Linked DNA regions of Schizosaccharomyces pombe. Changing the gene in region 1 together with any one later gene gives a genetic interaction. Each region holds a gene or a part of one and is shown on either strand. Other genes may lie near its edges.

Region 1 (7,387 bases):
TACCGAAAACAAAGAATCTTGGACTAACCAAGGCATCAAGTCTAGTCAACAACGTTCGGCAAATGCATCTCCTGCTACTTCCCCTTCTAATCAAGCATCCATCCATGCATCGTTTACGAAAGAATCGAGTACACACTCTTCTCCCTCCTTTACCTTGGAATCCTTGTTTTCTGGTGCTCCACGGGTCGTCGAGTTGACGAGGTTTTCTCAACCCAGCCCTGCTTGCAGCCGTGCTTTGTTGGCACGGTGGAAGGAGGAATACAGAACGTCTATACATTGAGCGAACCCGTCTACGGCCGTGCATGTGTTTGCTTAATGGAACTAGAAGACAAGGATGGGTGGACGGGTCAACCGAATTGCCTTTGCTTATGTTAGATAGAATTCTACCCTAATGTGCGCACGTTGATAGTTAAAGTCGTTTATACTACATTGTAGAAAATGTACATTGACTGCACCAAAACTCGGCTACCGTTCCTAAGTCGATGGTGCTGATTTTTATTTTGTTGTTGTATTGTATGTTCTGCATTCTCCTAATTTATGCTCTGCTTTAATTATTGTTAATTTTTTTTTCCTTAAAAACTTCCTTCCTATATTATTCTATTTCGCACGACATTCATTTTTGAACAACATTCTACCTTTATACGACACTATAGGATCCAATTCTTCTAACGTTGTACTAGTGTTTTATGTTTTTGTGCTTCTCATTTTTATGTTTTGTACATTGTTTTCTAAGTTAGTTATTCTAATGTTGCATTGTACATCTCATTCTTTCCCTATAATTAATTGCCTTGATAATCCTTTTACTTTCTCCTACTTGAGTACTAGCGCAATGCTGTTTACAACTCTACTCGACATTGTTTTTTAACGTTGTACTGTAGCCCACTACATCTGCGGTTTGTTTACAGGACTGTTGTATAACGAGTAGTTATTGTTGCTGTTACATTGCCATAGATTTCAGTAACTTGAGTTTTTCCGCAAGTACCCTTATGAGTGCATTGCTTTTTTTTTGTCCAAGACCTTACCGGCAGTTCCCTGGTAACGAGGCCTGAGGCAAAACCCCTTCTGTCAAAACAGTAGAGTGGAGCAGTAACTGCTTTTAATAGGAGTCTTTGTATCATCCAGATCTGGACTTGTGGTACAGAACATTTGGCAGAAGTTGGTGGTGGTAATAAAACAAGAAGTTTGAAAACAAAAAAAAAAAAAAAAAATGATTTTCGTAAGTCGTTTAAAGAAAAGTGAAAAGTGTTTTTTCTTTATACTGCACTCGTTGGTCAAGTGAATGAACTAACTTTTTCCTGCGCTTAACTATTTACCAATCTCCACTCTTCAAAGTAGCAAGATCCATTCGCGCCATTTTTAGTTGATCCGGTTTGATGGAATAACTGCTTGGCGCTCGTTCATTCGTTCTTTAAGGTTCAAAATGGACATTTTTATTTCAACTCTAATTACGATATCGGCAGTTGGGAGAGGAGGCAAAAGGCCAAATTTTTAGTTTATAAAAAGGAGCATCTCCTTTCATCTATTCTGCAGAAACCAAGGCTTGTATTGTGAGACGTAAAGCGTTCAATTGCAAGGTTTCCCCATTGCTAGTCTCGTTGACAGTCATTCCTTGGCTTTAGAAAAAGAAGTTTGCTTATTTACTTTTTTCACTAATTTTGGAATTCCGTCTTTTTGAGCTACTTGTTTGTTTAGACATTTTAATTCTTTAATTGTTTACAATTTACTGTCTTTTTTCCTTCATAATAGAAACGCATATCGAGGTTTGAATAGGTCGAAATAGAAATATTTTGTTTTGTTAATCGTCCATCATCTCATTTCATTCACATTCCATCGATCGGTGCTATATTCTCTTTATTTATTCAGCTTAATTGCCCGATTTTTTTTTTAAATTATTTCTTACCTTTTTTTTTTTGGTTTGGTAAAAAATGAGCTGTGTTACTAGAGCCCCCATGTCTGTACCCCAGACTGCCCTTCAACCTAATTCCTACGTTAATTTCGACGCTCAACAAACATCTTCTACTCTGCTTCCAGTAGAAGTCATTGACTCGGTCATGCAGTATTTACCTGCACACGACGTTATCCAGTCTAGCTTCGCCAGTTATCCATTGACTTTGATTGCCAACAAGATCATTCGTGCTCGTCTTTCCTTCTTAGACGAATATTCACTTCGCGTTTTTGCAAAGGATGTCTATACCGATTCACCGATTTGCAACTTGTCTGCCCGTCGCGGTTTGTATTCTTTACAATATGATGGTTATTCGGTATTCCACTTGGATCCTAACAATTGCTCCTCTATTTTTCAAATCTCCTTTGAGGACGACGAGGATCTAGCTTCTTTTGAACGATACCCTGGGGAGTTTCTTGCTCCCCATATCAATGTTCGAATTCACGTTACCTTGTCTCGTTCTTCCTGCGATCGTCATCAAGCCGATATATTTTCTTGCTTTCAAGATCCTATTCGTGTCCGCCGGGATTGGCTTGATTCGATAAAACCCGGTCAACCTGAAACACTTTGGTTTGATCAAAACACTCAACATGTCATCGGTCTAATTGTTACAAGAGTTGATGCTGCTCCTGGAAAGTATGATCTTTCTGTTACATCTGTTATTGTTCAAACGGAGTACCTTTTATCTTGCCTCGAGAAAAGAGTACATTAAAAAAGAACTTTTTCCATTCTGCATTGTTTAATATTCTATTATTTAATTCTCATGAGACAATCATGATTGCGTTCCGTTTTCTTTTAATGTTTATTTTCGTTGCTTGACAAGCCTGTGTCGCTCACGACTTCTTTGTTTGACATTTTGTACTTATTATTCTTTTAATTAAAAATTTAATTTACCTGTGATGTATGTTTTGCTGTGTTAATACATCCTGGTTTCTCATTTAATAAATGCGTTTATACATTTTACGCAGTCGACTGGTTTTTTTTTTCAGCGTTGTTTTAATTTCATTCAGCATTTGGCTTCATGTACAAAATTTATTTCTTAACATTTTTTTTCTAATAAACTTTTTTTTGTTGTACTGAAAAGTAAAAACCTACCTTTTTTTAAATTGCTCAATCAATTGAATGTTGTTTTCACGTTTCTCATTTCTACGAATATTTTAGCCTTTGTAAAATCTTTTTAATAGACGCTTAATCTTGTAAATGTGACTAAGTCTATACTACGTTCTTTCGCTCCAGTCAGTCTGCATTGTTTTGAGAGTTAGTGATTTTATGCTGGAATCGACGTGGTTATTTCGCAAATCTTTTAAATATGTAGTGAAAGCAGTATTTGTTTATATTATTGAAGAACTGTAAAATTTAGGTTTGACATTGGTGGTTTTTTGGCTTTACAACTCGTCTGTTAACGGAATTGGGTAGTGTTCAAATAAAATTTAAAATTGGTAGAACTCTGGGATAAGTTTTAGTATTTATGTTTCTATGCAAATAAAGATAAGCTTACTTGTTTCATTTTTTCTTTAAATTCTATATATCTTCATTGTTTTTACATGTCAACCAAGAATACGAATGTTTGGTTCATAAACATACCTCAATACATTGACACCACCACCCGTCACCATGAAATGCGTCGAATGCGGCGCGGAAGTCGATTCTTTATACACATATTATGGAAGGGGTACCAGTAATATTCGACTAGCTCAATGCGTAAGTAATATACACACAATATGTTTCGTTGATGTAGTCAACTTGATCGTAAGGAGCTAAGGGCAAGTCCATTCCAACGGCGACGAAAAGAAGCTTCATGAATATTTTTCTCTTCAAATATAATTTACATTATTGTAAGCAAATGACGATCATTCAATTTTTGTCTCCATTTATCTTGCTTAATGAATACTGAGAGTGGAATGCGTAGTCTTGCTGTAATCGTTAAGATCGACTTGTTCTTTAGTTTTTTTTAAGTACAATTTCAAACTAACGACTATGTTACAGAAAAACTGCAAACAGTTTGCGGACAAATACATTGAATTAGATGTTGTTCTCATCAGCATGGATGTAATTTTGATGAAACCGCAAGTTTACCGTCATCTTTTGTTTAATTCTCTGTCGGCACGAACATTTCGTAACGTAAGTATTTTATTCATTTCAATGGCTTTTTAAATAGCTGACAAAATGCGCAAAGGTTGTCAATTTCTGCATATTAATTTCCCTTTTCAACGTTTTTTTAGTTTGGTCACGACTAGAAAAACGCGCAGCCCTCTTCCCCTACTTCACACCTGCCCAAGCATTTCTCTCCCAGCCAATTATCCGGCAGTACTTGACTTTACTGCTAATATGTTTGGTTGAGACAACTGTGTATCAAATTTCAGTAGTTCTGTTATTATGCCTAACAATGGGTTGGAAATCTTGGACTTCTGCGTCTGGCGCTGTAATACTTTCTTCTAGCACAAGAATGCTACCCGTTTTCATGGTAATTTGGGACTACGACCTTTCTATAGCGGCAACCGTCGTAGAATGGGTAGTTTTGTTTAGCAATGTGGATGCGCTATGTATATTAACTGGAAGCCGGCGGTATTTTAAAATTGGCTTAATCGTTCTTTTTGCCAGTCTCGTGAGATCTATTGTCGTTTATATTTTTTTACATTTAACAGGACTTTCACAGATTCAACCATCAACTCCTTGTGATGGGTTTCAGCATTTTGTAAATCTATTATGTGTATACTTTCGTTCAATCACTTTAACTGCGCAAACTGCAGTATAATGACAAAAGGAAATGGGAAACAATACGGCATCGACATAGTGTATCAGTTATTAAAAGTTTTTATATCACCCGTTTTAAGAAACTGGTCAATTATTAGTTCTTTAATAAGTTGTTGATATTTAAAAAATATGAATTTGATGAACCAATTGAAACCGAAGCCAGTAATCATATTTCCTAATCTTGTAATATGAAACTTGAAATGGTCTAAATAAAAATAATAATTACACCCTCAAAGCATATAGATATGTAATAGATACAATTATATAGAGGAAACACTGCAAGGAAATAAAAAAGGCAAAAAACTGAAAAAAGTAAAACTATTTTGCTGAGCATAACTAAACAAATGATCATTCGAAGATATTTTTCTTACCAGTGGAATTTGTTGCATTTTTTTAATAACAAAGTTCAGAGGTTTGCTTTTGCTGTCGCTAAAGAACCCATCACAATTTTATCAGCTACGATATTTTTTAAATATTTAATCAATATATGTATATAAGTCTTTGTTCATTATACATTTGTTTAGTTATAGAAGCAACCAGGTCAGCTAACACCGTCTTAGCTCGTAATGTAAAATAAACTCATAGTAAGCGAATGAATATTTCAGTAAGTTTTAAATGAAATAAAAATTAGAAAGTAAGTAATTTATAGAACTGTAAGCAAATGCAATCAGACCCGTTGAGATTGAATACAGTAAACTATTTTTTAAACCCAATTCAAAAAAAAAAAATAGCGTTGTTTTGCTACATGTGCTGCATTTTGTGCTTTTAAAAAAATTTAAAAATAATAATAATAATAATTTAGTGTGTAGCTAAGATGTCAGCTTTTTATAATTAGTATGTTAAATCAATTAATAACAGGTTACATTAGCTTTTAGTGAAGAATGGAAAACTTGAAGATTAGGTTGGCAGACTAATCTTCAGTTGGATGTAGCCCTATTAAAAAGCAGCAGAAAAATATTCTTTCCGATTTCGGAGGGTTGTATAATGAATTAGATTTGTAACGGTAAAAAGTTTTTGTGCAAATAAGTTCCGTATAATTAACCATGTTTTTCTAATCTCTAAATTAAAACCTAATTTGAAAATAGGGCAAACATGTAATTTTCTTGTATTTCTCGACTTTTGTTTTTTATTTTAATTAAATTATCAATTACAGAAAGTATTTATTTTTTAATATGACTCTAATATTTTCATACTGTCTATCCTTTCACTCTAATCTACATGATTGTTTTGTAAATTTGGCAGTAATTCGGCTCAAGGGTTATTAGGTTACCGGTTTATTAATCAGTTAATAGCACCTTATATGAAAAGAGACGAGATTAAAGTCATACAGTTCTACCAAATAAATAGGTTTTTTTTTTGAATATTTATTTTACGGAAGTAATATTAAAACTCGAAGTATGCGTATTTAAACATTAATTAACTAAATTTGTTTGGATAAACCGCTTTGACCATCTTGACTAACTGCACTTAAGCGAGTAATACGTTAGCCAACTTCCTATCGCGTAAATAATTTAACGCTGTCTACGACAGGCCAGTAAACACGCGATCCCCATACATGTTTTAGATGTACGGGGGATTTTTTTTTGAAGAAACTGTTAAATTTAATACACAAAAATATTTAAAAGTTTTATTTTGGATATGAGTGAAAAATTTAATGTATTTTTCTGCCGCCAATAAAATTGATTCTGTTTCCATCTATAATAGCCAACCACAACGCTCGCCTTTACCAGTCTTACCAACTGCCAATATTAAAAATCAAAACATATCGAGATGTTCAGCCGTCGAATTCAAGTTTTGAGCCCGTTTTTGAAGCATTTTGTTAACAGAAATGCCCGTATGATGGCTACAGAGGCCAACATATCTGCCACTTCTGCTAATCCTCAGTCACAGGGTGAAAATTTAAAAACTTTCGAGATTTATCGCTGGAACCCAGAGAAACCAGAAGTAAAGCCAAAGCTTCAAAAGTATACAGTCGACTTAACAAAATGCGGACCAATGGTTTTGGATGCGCTTATTAAAATCAAAAATGAGCAAGATCCTACCTTAACGTTCCGTCGCTCATGCAGAGAAGGTATTTGCGGGTCTTGTGCGATGAATATTAATGGCAGTAATACTTTGGCTTGCATCTGTAACATTAAAAAAGATAACAAACCTACTAAAATTTACCCCTTACCTCATTGCTTCATCGTAAAGGATCTCGTACCTGACCTAACCTACTTTTATAAGCAATATAAGAGTATTGAACCCTGGTTGCAAAACGATAACATCCCTAAAGACAAGGAGTTTTACCAATCTCGCGCTGACCGTGCCAAGCTTGACGGTTTGTATGAATGTATTTTGTGTGCCTGTTGTTCTACCTCTTGTCCATCTTACTGGTGGAACTCAGAAGAGTATCTTGGCCCAGCAGTTTTGATGCAGGCTTATCGTTGGATCATCGATTCTCGTGATCAAGCTACTGCTAAACGTTTGGATGTCATGCAGAACTCTATGTCTGTCTATCGTTGCCATACCATTATGAATTGCGCTCGTACTTGTCCCAAGGGTTTGAACCCTGGCCTTGCCATTGCCAAGGTAAAGGCTTTGATGGCTACTGCTTAAACAAGATTTACGCTTCTTTTTGTCTTTTCTTTCGCATCTGATGATTCCAATATTTCTTGTTAAAGAGGAACCCCCGTTGTTACTTAACCT
Region 2 (6,567 bases), on another chromosome or scaffold:
ATTCGAATTAAAGGTCTCGTTCAGGTATTCAAGAGGCGAGAGGTACGCGCATTTGACAATTCAAACATTAGTCTACATAGACGTTGTTTTTAGTAGCAACAAGTTTAAAATTAACAGATTTTTACAACATGACAAATTTGGATTTTACACATACACTTCATTTGAGCAAGCTAAGATTCCAAACATTTTTTAAAATTTCTTTATGAAAGTAGTAAAATGAAGAAATTGTAACTATTTTTTATTAATATAACAAATAATACCGATGCAAACTGGTTTAAATGGTCAATGCCCCAATTTCGTTCATGACTATTGTATGCTTTCACTGAAAAATTGTTTTTTTTTTATTGTTTTGGAATTTGGTAATACTGTGTGGCATTATAGACGGTGCACAGAGCCAGAGCAATACTAGAAAAGGCAGTTATAGGAAGAGCCATCTATCAATTAGAAATAATTGCTTACAACTTACACAAAAAACCTGGCTATGTTTATTAACACCTTTTTCACGTTTTAGCTTAATTACCGATACACATTCATCAGCTGCTACAAACCATAAATTGGGAAATATCTTACATATTTGGTAACCGAAAGAATCAAGTAACTAGAATTTAATTACGTTGATTCAGTTTAAAATTTAGTATAACAAGCACCACTGGTTTCCTCATAATGTTAGTTTTAAGATCTTGGGCATTAGCTTAGCACAATAGAATGGAGGGTTGACGCGGCCGTTACACATGACTTCACTTATTTGTCCACCACATACATACTTCCGGCAGCTCACTCTTCGTTGTAGGAAATATCGTAACTTTTAAATATTTATACAAATAAAAGCATTTTGTTTTGAAAAAAGAAGTTTTCTAATATATCATTTGAAAATAATAAACGAATTTCCCAAGTTTAATTAAGGCACCACTTTCAATTTTTTAACATTTACTCCGAATTAGAGTTGAATATAGTACCTTGTTTCATGTACAGGGTCTGCAAAATTGTGCAGAGAAATTGATTGTTTAAAAGTCCCAAAATTTAATCAAGTGAGAAGTTTAGATGAGTGAATCTGCACCCGCTGGTTCGAAGGAGGGAGTTTCATTCGGTAATCTCCCTCGTCCTGAGCCACGAACTTCTAAAGACCAGCAGAAGTTATCCATTTCTACCGATGTTAAAAAACCATCTCATTCTGCTCCTGTTACGCCGGTTCGGAGTGCCAGGAGCTCAATGGAACAGCCAACGTTTCGTCCTGTTGCAAAAAATTCCGTAACAGTGGCACCTGCTCGGGCGGCTGGATTCTGTCCTCCACAATTTGAGGAATATCATCATGGACGTTCCCATAGTCTTGTTTCACCACCTCCGAGTCCACATTTTCTAAAAAGGATTTCGTTCGATACGTTTAATAATAAAGCGGCTACAGATTTTTCCCTGACTCTGAAAACACAACATCAAGCTTACAAGTGGACAAGAACGTCTCGCACTTTTTTGTGTGGCATGGATGGCAATTCGTATTCTGAAGTTGCAGTCGATTGGTTATTCGAAACACTTTTAGCCGACAACGATGAAGCAGTAGTATTAAGAGTAATTGATCCTTCTTCCAAGCTAGCGGAGGATTTATCGGATGAACAATCTTACAGATCTTTAGCTGAACATATCATGGCAGGCATACTCAAGAAAGTTGATGATGATAAAGCTGTTTCTATAATAGTTGAACTCGTGGTTGGTAAACCTCAAGATATGATCCTTCGTACTATACACGTTTATTCACCTGATAGTCTTATTGTCGGTACTCGTGGCAAAGCCTTAAATAGCTTTCAGTCTCTTCTTTCTAGCGGAAGCGTTTCCAAATTTTGTTTACAAAAAAGCCCCATTCCCGTAATTGTTGTTCGACCTGATCGAAAACGAGTTCGTTCAAAAAACAAGCGCCTTAAGGACAAAACGAGAAAGTCCTATATGGAAATTTTAGAGAAAAGCGGTCGCTAATACGAATAGTTCTCTAACTTGCCAATTTATGATTAATACTTGCTTTATGACATGTAATATTTAATGCGTTTGATAAATTATTCGCAAAACGGTTGAACATTGATTTCTTTATTGTCTATTTTAAAAAAGAGCAAAAAAAATAAAGCTTTAATTTTTTTTGTTCGCTAAGCTAAAGCGTGCGGAATTTTAATGTTTAGAGTATATCTATCGTGTATTTGAGATTTCTTAATGTCAATTAATTTGTTTGTCTCTGGATTTAACTATGATAATTTGGAACATGCGTACGTTATGCTGCGTAATTTAGTTGAAATGAAAATTGTTTGTTTACATCCATTTATCATTTTAAGAATTTACGCTTTATTACCAACTCACATATTTTTCATTTATTCCCTATAGAAAAAAAATTTACCTTTACCAATGCGGGTGCCTAATGAAGTTTGTTTTAATATATTATCATATTTGGAAGCCGATGAGCTAAGGTGCAAATCGACAGTTTGTACTTCATGGAGGAATTTTATTATACCCACTTTATGGGAAAAAGTAGTATTTCAAAACGAAGCTCAATTAAATAACTTTTTTGATACTTTACAATACTCCAAGGATGTTTCGTACTATTTCAGGTATTTGCGCAAGCTGAATTGCTCTCGTGTTAGGAAATTTCTTACCGATAAACATTTAATGTTAATGACATTAGCAACAGGGATTTCTCGTCTGAATTTGTCTGGATGTACTCGCATTTCCGAGCCTCTTATTGGTAAACTGTTGTATCAGAATTTGAACTTGGTTACTATAAACTTCAGTAATATTTTCTCTTTACCGGCGAATATACTTGAATATATTTCTGATAATTGCCCTAATTTAAAAGCTTTGAATATTGGGAATTGTGGGTTAGTAGAAGATACCGGTATGGTTCAGATAATAAAACGTTGTCCGTACTTAAATCGGCTCATTATACCGAATTGTCGAAAGCTGACTGACGTCTCATTACAAATACTTTCTGAAAAAGAAGACCTGATTGAATTAGATATTAGTGGATGTGAAGGCTTTCATAATGCGGATACGCTGTCTAGGTTGGTCTCCAGAAATCGAGGTTTGAAAGAATTATCTATGGATGGTTGCACAGAATTGTCACATTTCATCACTTTTTTAAACTTAAACTGTGAATTAGATGCAATGAGGGCATTAAGTCTTAACAATTTACCAGATTTGAAAGACAGTGACATAGAATTGATAACTTGTAAGTTCTCAAAATTAAACTCTCTATTTCTTTCCAAATGCATTGGATTGACTGATTCGTCACTTTTAAGCTTAACAAAGCTTTCTCAATCTTTAACGACTCTTCATTTGGGACATTGCTATGAGATAACCGATATTGGTGTTCAATGTCTTCTAAAGTCATGTAAAAATATAACTTACATTGACTTCGGTGGTTGCCTTCGTTTGAGTGATATAGCAGTAAGTGCTATTGCTAAGTTGCCATATCTTCAAAGAGTAGGTTTGGTCAAATGCATTTGCCTTACTGACCTTTCTGTAATCTTACTAAGTGGGTCTTTTTCCAGAAACCTTGAACGAGTACATCTTTCTTATTGCATTGGACTAACCGCAAAGGTATGTAAAATATGCTATCTTTTCTAACCAAATTAGTCGGTTAGTTATTTGATGTATAACTGTAAAACGTTAAAGCATCTTAGCGTTACTGGAATTAACTCTATATTATGCACAGAATTGCGATCTTTTTCCCGTCCAATTCCAGATGGAATAAACCCGTCCCAAGTCCCGGTATTGTAAGTCTGTGGTTTTGACCTCTTAATAGTCACTAACTAATATACAGCTGTGCGTTCACTAAGGTCGAGATTGATTTGTTTCGAGAATTTATTCGTAATAGAATATAGAAATCAAACTTTTCACAGTTTCATTTAAGGCTTCAATTGACATGATGGCGTGCTTGTCCTTAACTATTCAATAATAAAACATTTTATAAAAAACGTTATTTACTCCGCAAGGTTTTTTTTTTTTTTTTTTTTTTTTTTTTTTTTTTTTTTTGATTGAACTAATCAGCAGATGGTAGCTATATATTTACAAGTACAAAAAAGTAGATTTATTACATATTATCAAAAAAACCTCTCACTCTTACAAAAGATAAGTTAAACATAGTTTCTTAAAAGAAAACCTATTTTATTGTACACCTTTCATATTGCATTACCATTCACATTAGTTAATAATTAATTTTTTTTATGGGGGTTCCATACTAACTCCTGTTCAAGAAGCATCCTTGGGTAAAGTAGATATGAAACCATCCAAATTAAATTCATCATATTGGGATTCATCCCACATTTCTGGAAGCCCTTCAAGAGCCTTTTTAGAAGTACCACTTAGACCGCGACCTGCCGCATCTTCCGATTCTTCTTTGTCAATATTTTGTACAGTTTGTTGTTCATCAGCAGTAGTGTTAAAAAGGTCTAAAATCTGATCGGTTCCAATTGAAGAAAGACCAGCATTTTGCTGATTAACAACCGTTGATGCCACGTTCATTTTAAACCTCTGAAGGCCCATTATTTTTTCCTCAAGACATCCTCGAGTGATTAAACGATACACATTCACCACCTTTTTTTGTCCAATACGATGAGCTCTGTCCATTGCCTGCAAATCTCGCATGGGATTCCAGTCATGCTCAACAAAAATAACGGTATCAGCACCAGTAAGATTAAGACCAAGACCACCAACATGAGTCGTTAACAGAAGAACATCTATTGAAGGATCATTATTGAATTTGGTAACAGCCTCTTGACGCTTGGTTGGCTCAACTGACCCATCAAGGCGCATGTAAGTAACATCGGGCATAGTAGCTTGCAACAGATCTTTCTCAACCATATCTAACATGTCTTTGAGCTGGCAGAAAATCAACACACGATGTTCACTAACTGCATTCGTTAATGCACTATCAATACCATTCGAGTTTACTGAAGAATTACCCAAGCCACAATCTCGAAGCAATTGACCAAGTGCAGTCAATTTTGGAGCATGCTTTAAGTCATGTAAACCACTATTTTCTTTAGCTAATTGCTTAACAATGGCATTTCGTTTTGGATGCTTCTCTGTCAAAATCAAAGCAGGATGATTGCAAAGTTTACGCATGTATTGCAAAGCCTGGAAAATATGAGCTTTCTGGGATTTCTTCTTTCTTGTACCTTGAGTTTTTTCCGTTTCATCATCTTCGAGCTCTTCATTGATGTTCAACTGAGATACAAAATCATTAAGAAGCTTTCTTTGCAGATCGCTCATATCACAATAATAATCTTGTATTATCTTTGGGGGCAAATCTGCTAAAACATCTTCTTTTAATCGCCTAAGCATAAACGGAAGCACTTGCTTATGGATAGCCTCGAGTGCCAAAGTGCCTCTTTCCCGCTCTTTCGATGAGCTTTTTGCATCACGACTAGCAGCGATAGGACGAACAAATCGTTCTTGAAATGTCTTTTCAGTTCCCAAAAACCCAGGCATTAGAAAATCAAAAAGAGACCAAAGCTCTAGCACATTGTTTTGAATAGGTGTTCCTGACAGAATTAGTCGATGATAGGACCTTAAACTTTTAACCGCTTTTGTGAGCTTAGCTCGTGCATTTTTTATAACATGACCCTCGTCAAGAACACAGTAGTTCCAGTCAATTTTTACTAATTCATCCACATCATTCCGACATATGTCATAAGACGTGACAACAACATCGGACTTCTTCATTTTTGATCTTATTTTTGCTCTTTCCGCTGGAGGTCCTACATATGCAGACACTTTCAAAAATGGTGCATAAGTACTAAGTTCTTGCTGCCAATGGCCGGCTAATGTAGATGGACACACTATCAACGAAGGAACGTGAGCAAACTTGGGACTTCCTGATTCTTCAAATAATTTTTGGCGGTTATAATGATCACTTGCGACTATACAAATAGTTTGCAAAGTCTTACCCAACCCCATATCATCACATAAAATCCCATGAAGTTCATACTTATTTAAGAAAGCCAGCCAATTAACACCTTCCTGTTGATATTTCCTTAAATCAGCAGAGATGGGGACAGGAATTGAGAATGCTTCGACCTTAGAAGGATTCAGCATTTGTTCTAAAAATTTGCGCTCCTTTTCACGACTATCAAGTAGATATTGAGGCAAGTCTGGCGGATCAGGAAGTCCAGCTTCAAGTGGTACTAATTTAACAAGTGTTGCAAAGGAAGTCGTAGCTAGCACACGTACATCCTGGTCAGCATCACTCATTCGACCTAACAAGGGAATAATTAAGTAAAGTATGTAGGGAAGGATACGGACTCCTAGACGTTGAACAACATGATATATGCACTCAATAGCTCCTTGTCTGTGGATTGTGCTACTAGCATCTCCTAAAAGTGGAACAACATCCTCAACAAGAAGATGAAGAGCCTTTGATCCCGCAGCATTTGATTCAGTAATAGCAGCAAAGCATTTTGATGCCATATTGCGTACGGCGGAATAATTCGATTGTAAAGTTGCTAGTAAATGAGGCAAAGTACTGACAATTTCAGATTGAAGACCGGAATCTAAGTACGCAACTAAAAATCGCAATATAGACATTGCATC

What was found. Genes that interact genetically often act in the same process or in processes that back each other up.
Region 2: mutations in arv1 (region 1) and pof2 together harm fitness more than expected from each alone (negative genetic interaction), as found in Schizosaccharomyces pombe (one large-scale study listed by BioGRID).

What each region holds. Positions count from the first base shown.
Region 1 is NC_003424.3:1,888,995-1,896,381, forward strand, and holds arv1 (Arv1-like family protein Arv1), read left to right. Parts: upstream 1-3,549; 5' UTR 3,550-3,559; coding exon 3,560-3,646; exon of another isoform or gene 3,647-3,931; coding exon 3,932-4,066; exon of another isoform or gene 4,067-4,121; coding exon 4,122-4,700; 3' UTR 4,701-4,852; downstream 4,853-7,387. Other genes in the region: SPOM_SPAPB1A10.13 (uncharacterized protein), read left to right, coding at 1-280; pof15 (F-box protein), read left to right, coding at 1,926-2,657; sdh2 (succinate dehydrogenase iron-sulfur subunit protein), read left to right, coding at 6,470-7,297. UniProt on the Schizosaccharomyces pombe protein: Mediator of sterol homeostasis involved in sterol uptake, trafficking and distribution into membranes. Also regulates the sphingolipid metabolism.
Region 2 is NC_003423.3:2,615,480-2,622,046, forward strand, and holds pof2 (F-box protein Pof2), read left to right. Parts: upstream 1-2,382; coding exon 2,383-3,573; exon of another isoform or gene 3,574-3,609; coding exon 3,610-3,749; exon of another isoform or gene 3,750-3,796; coding exon 3,797-3,857; 3' UTR 3,858-3,997; downstream 3,998-6,567. Other genes in the region: SPOM_SPBC25B2.10 (Usp (universal stress protein) family protein), read left to right, coding at 1,042-1,965; TATA-binding protein-associated factor Mot1, read right to left, coding at 4,225-6,567. UniProt on the Schizosaccharomyces pombe protein: Involved in substrate recognition in ubiquitin-dependent degradation.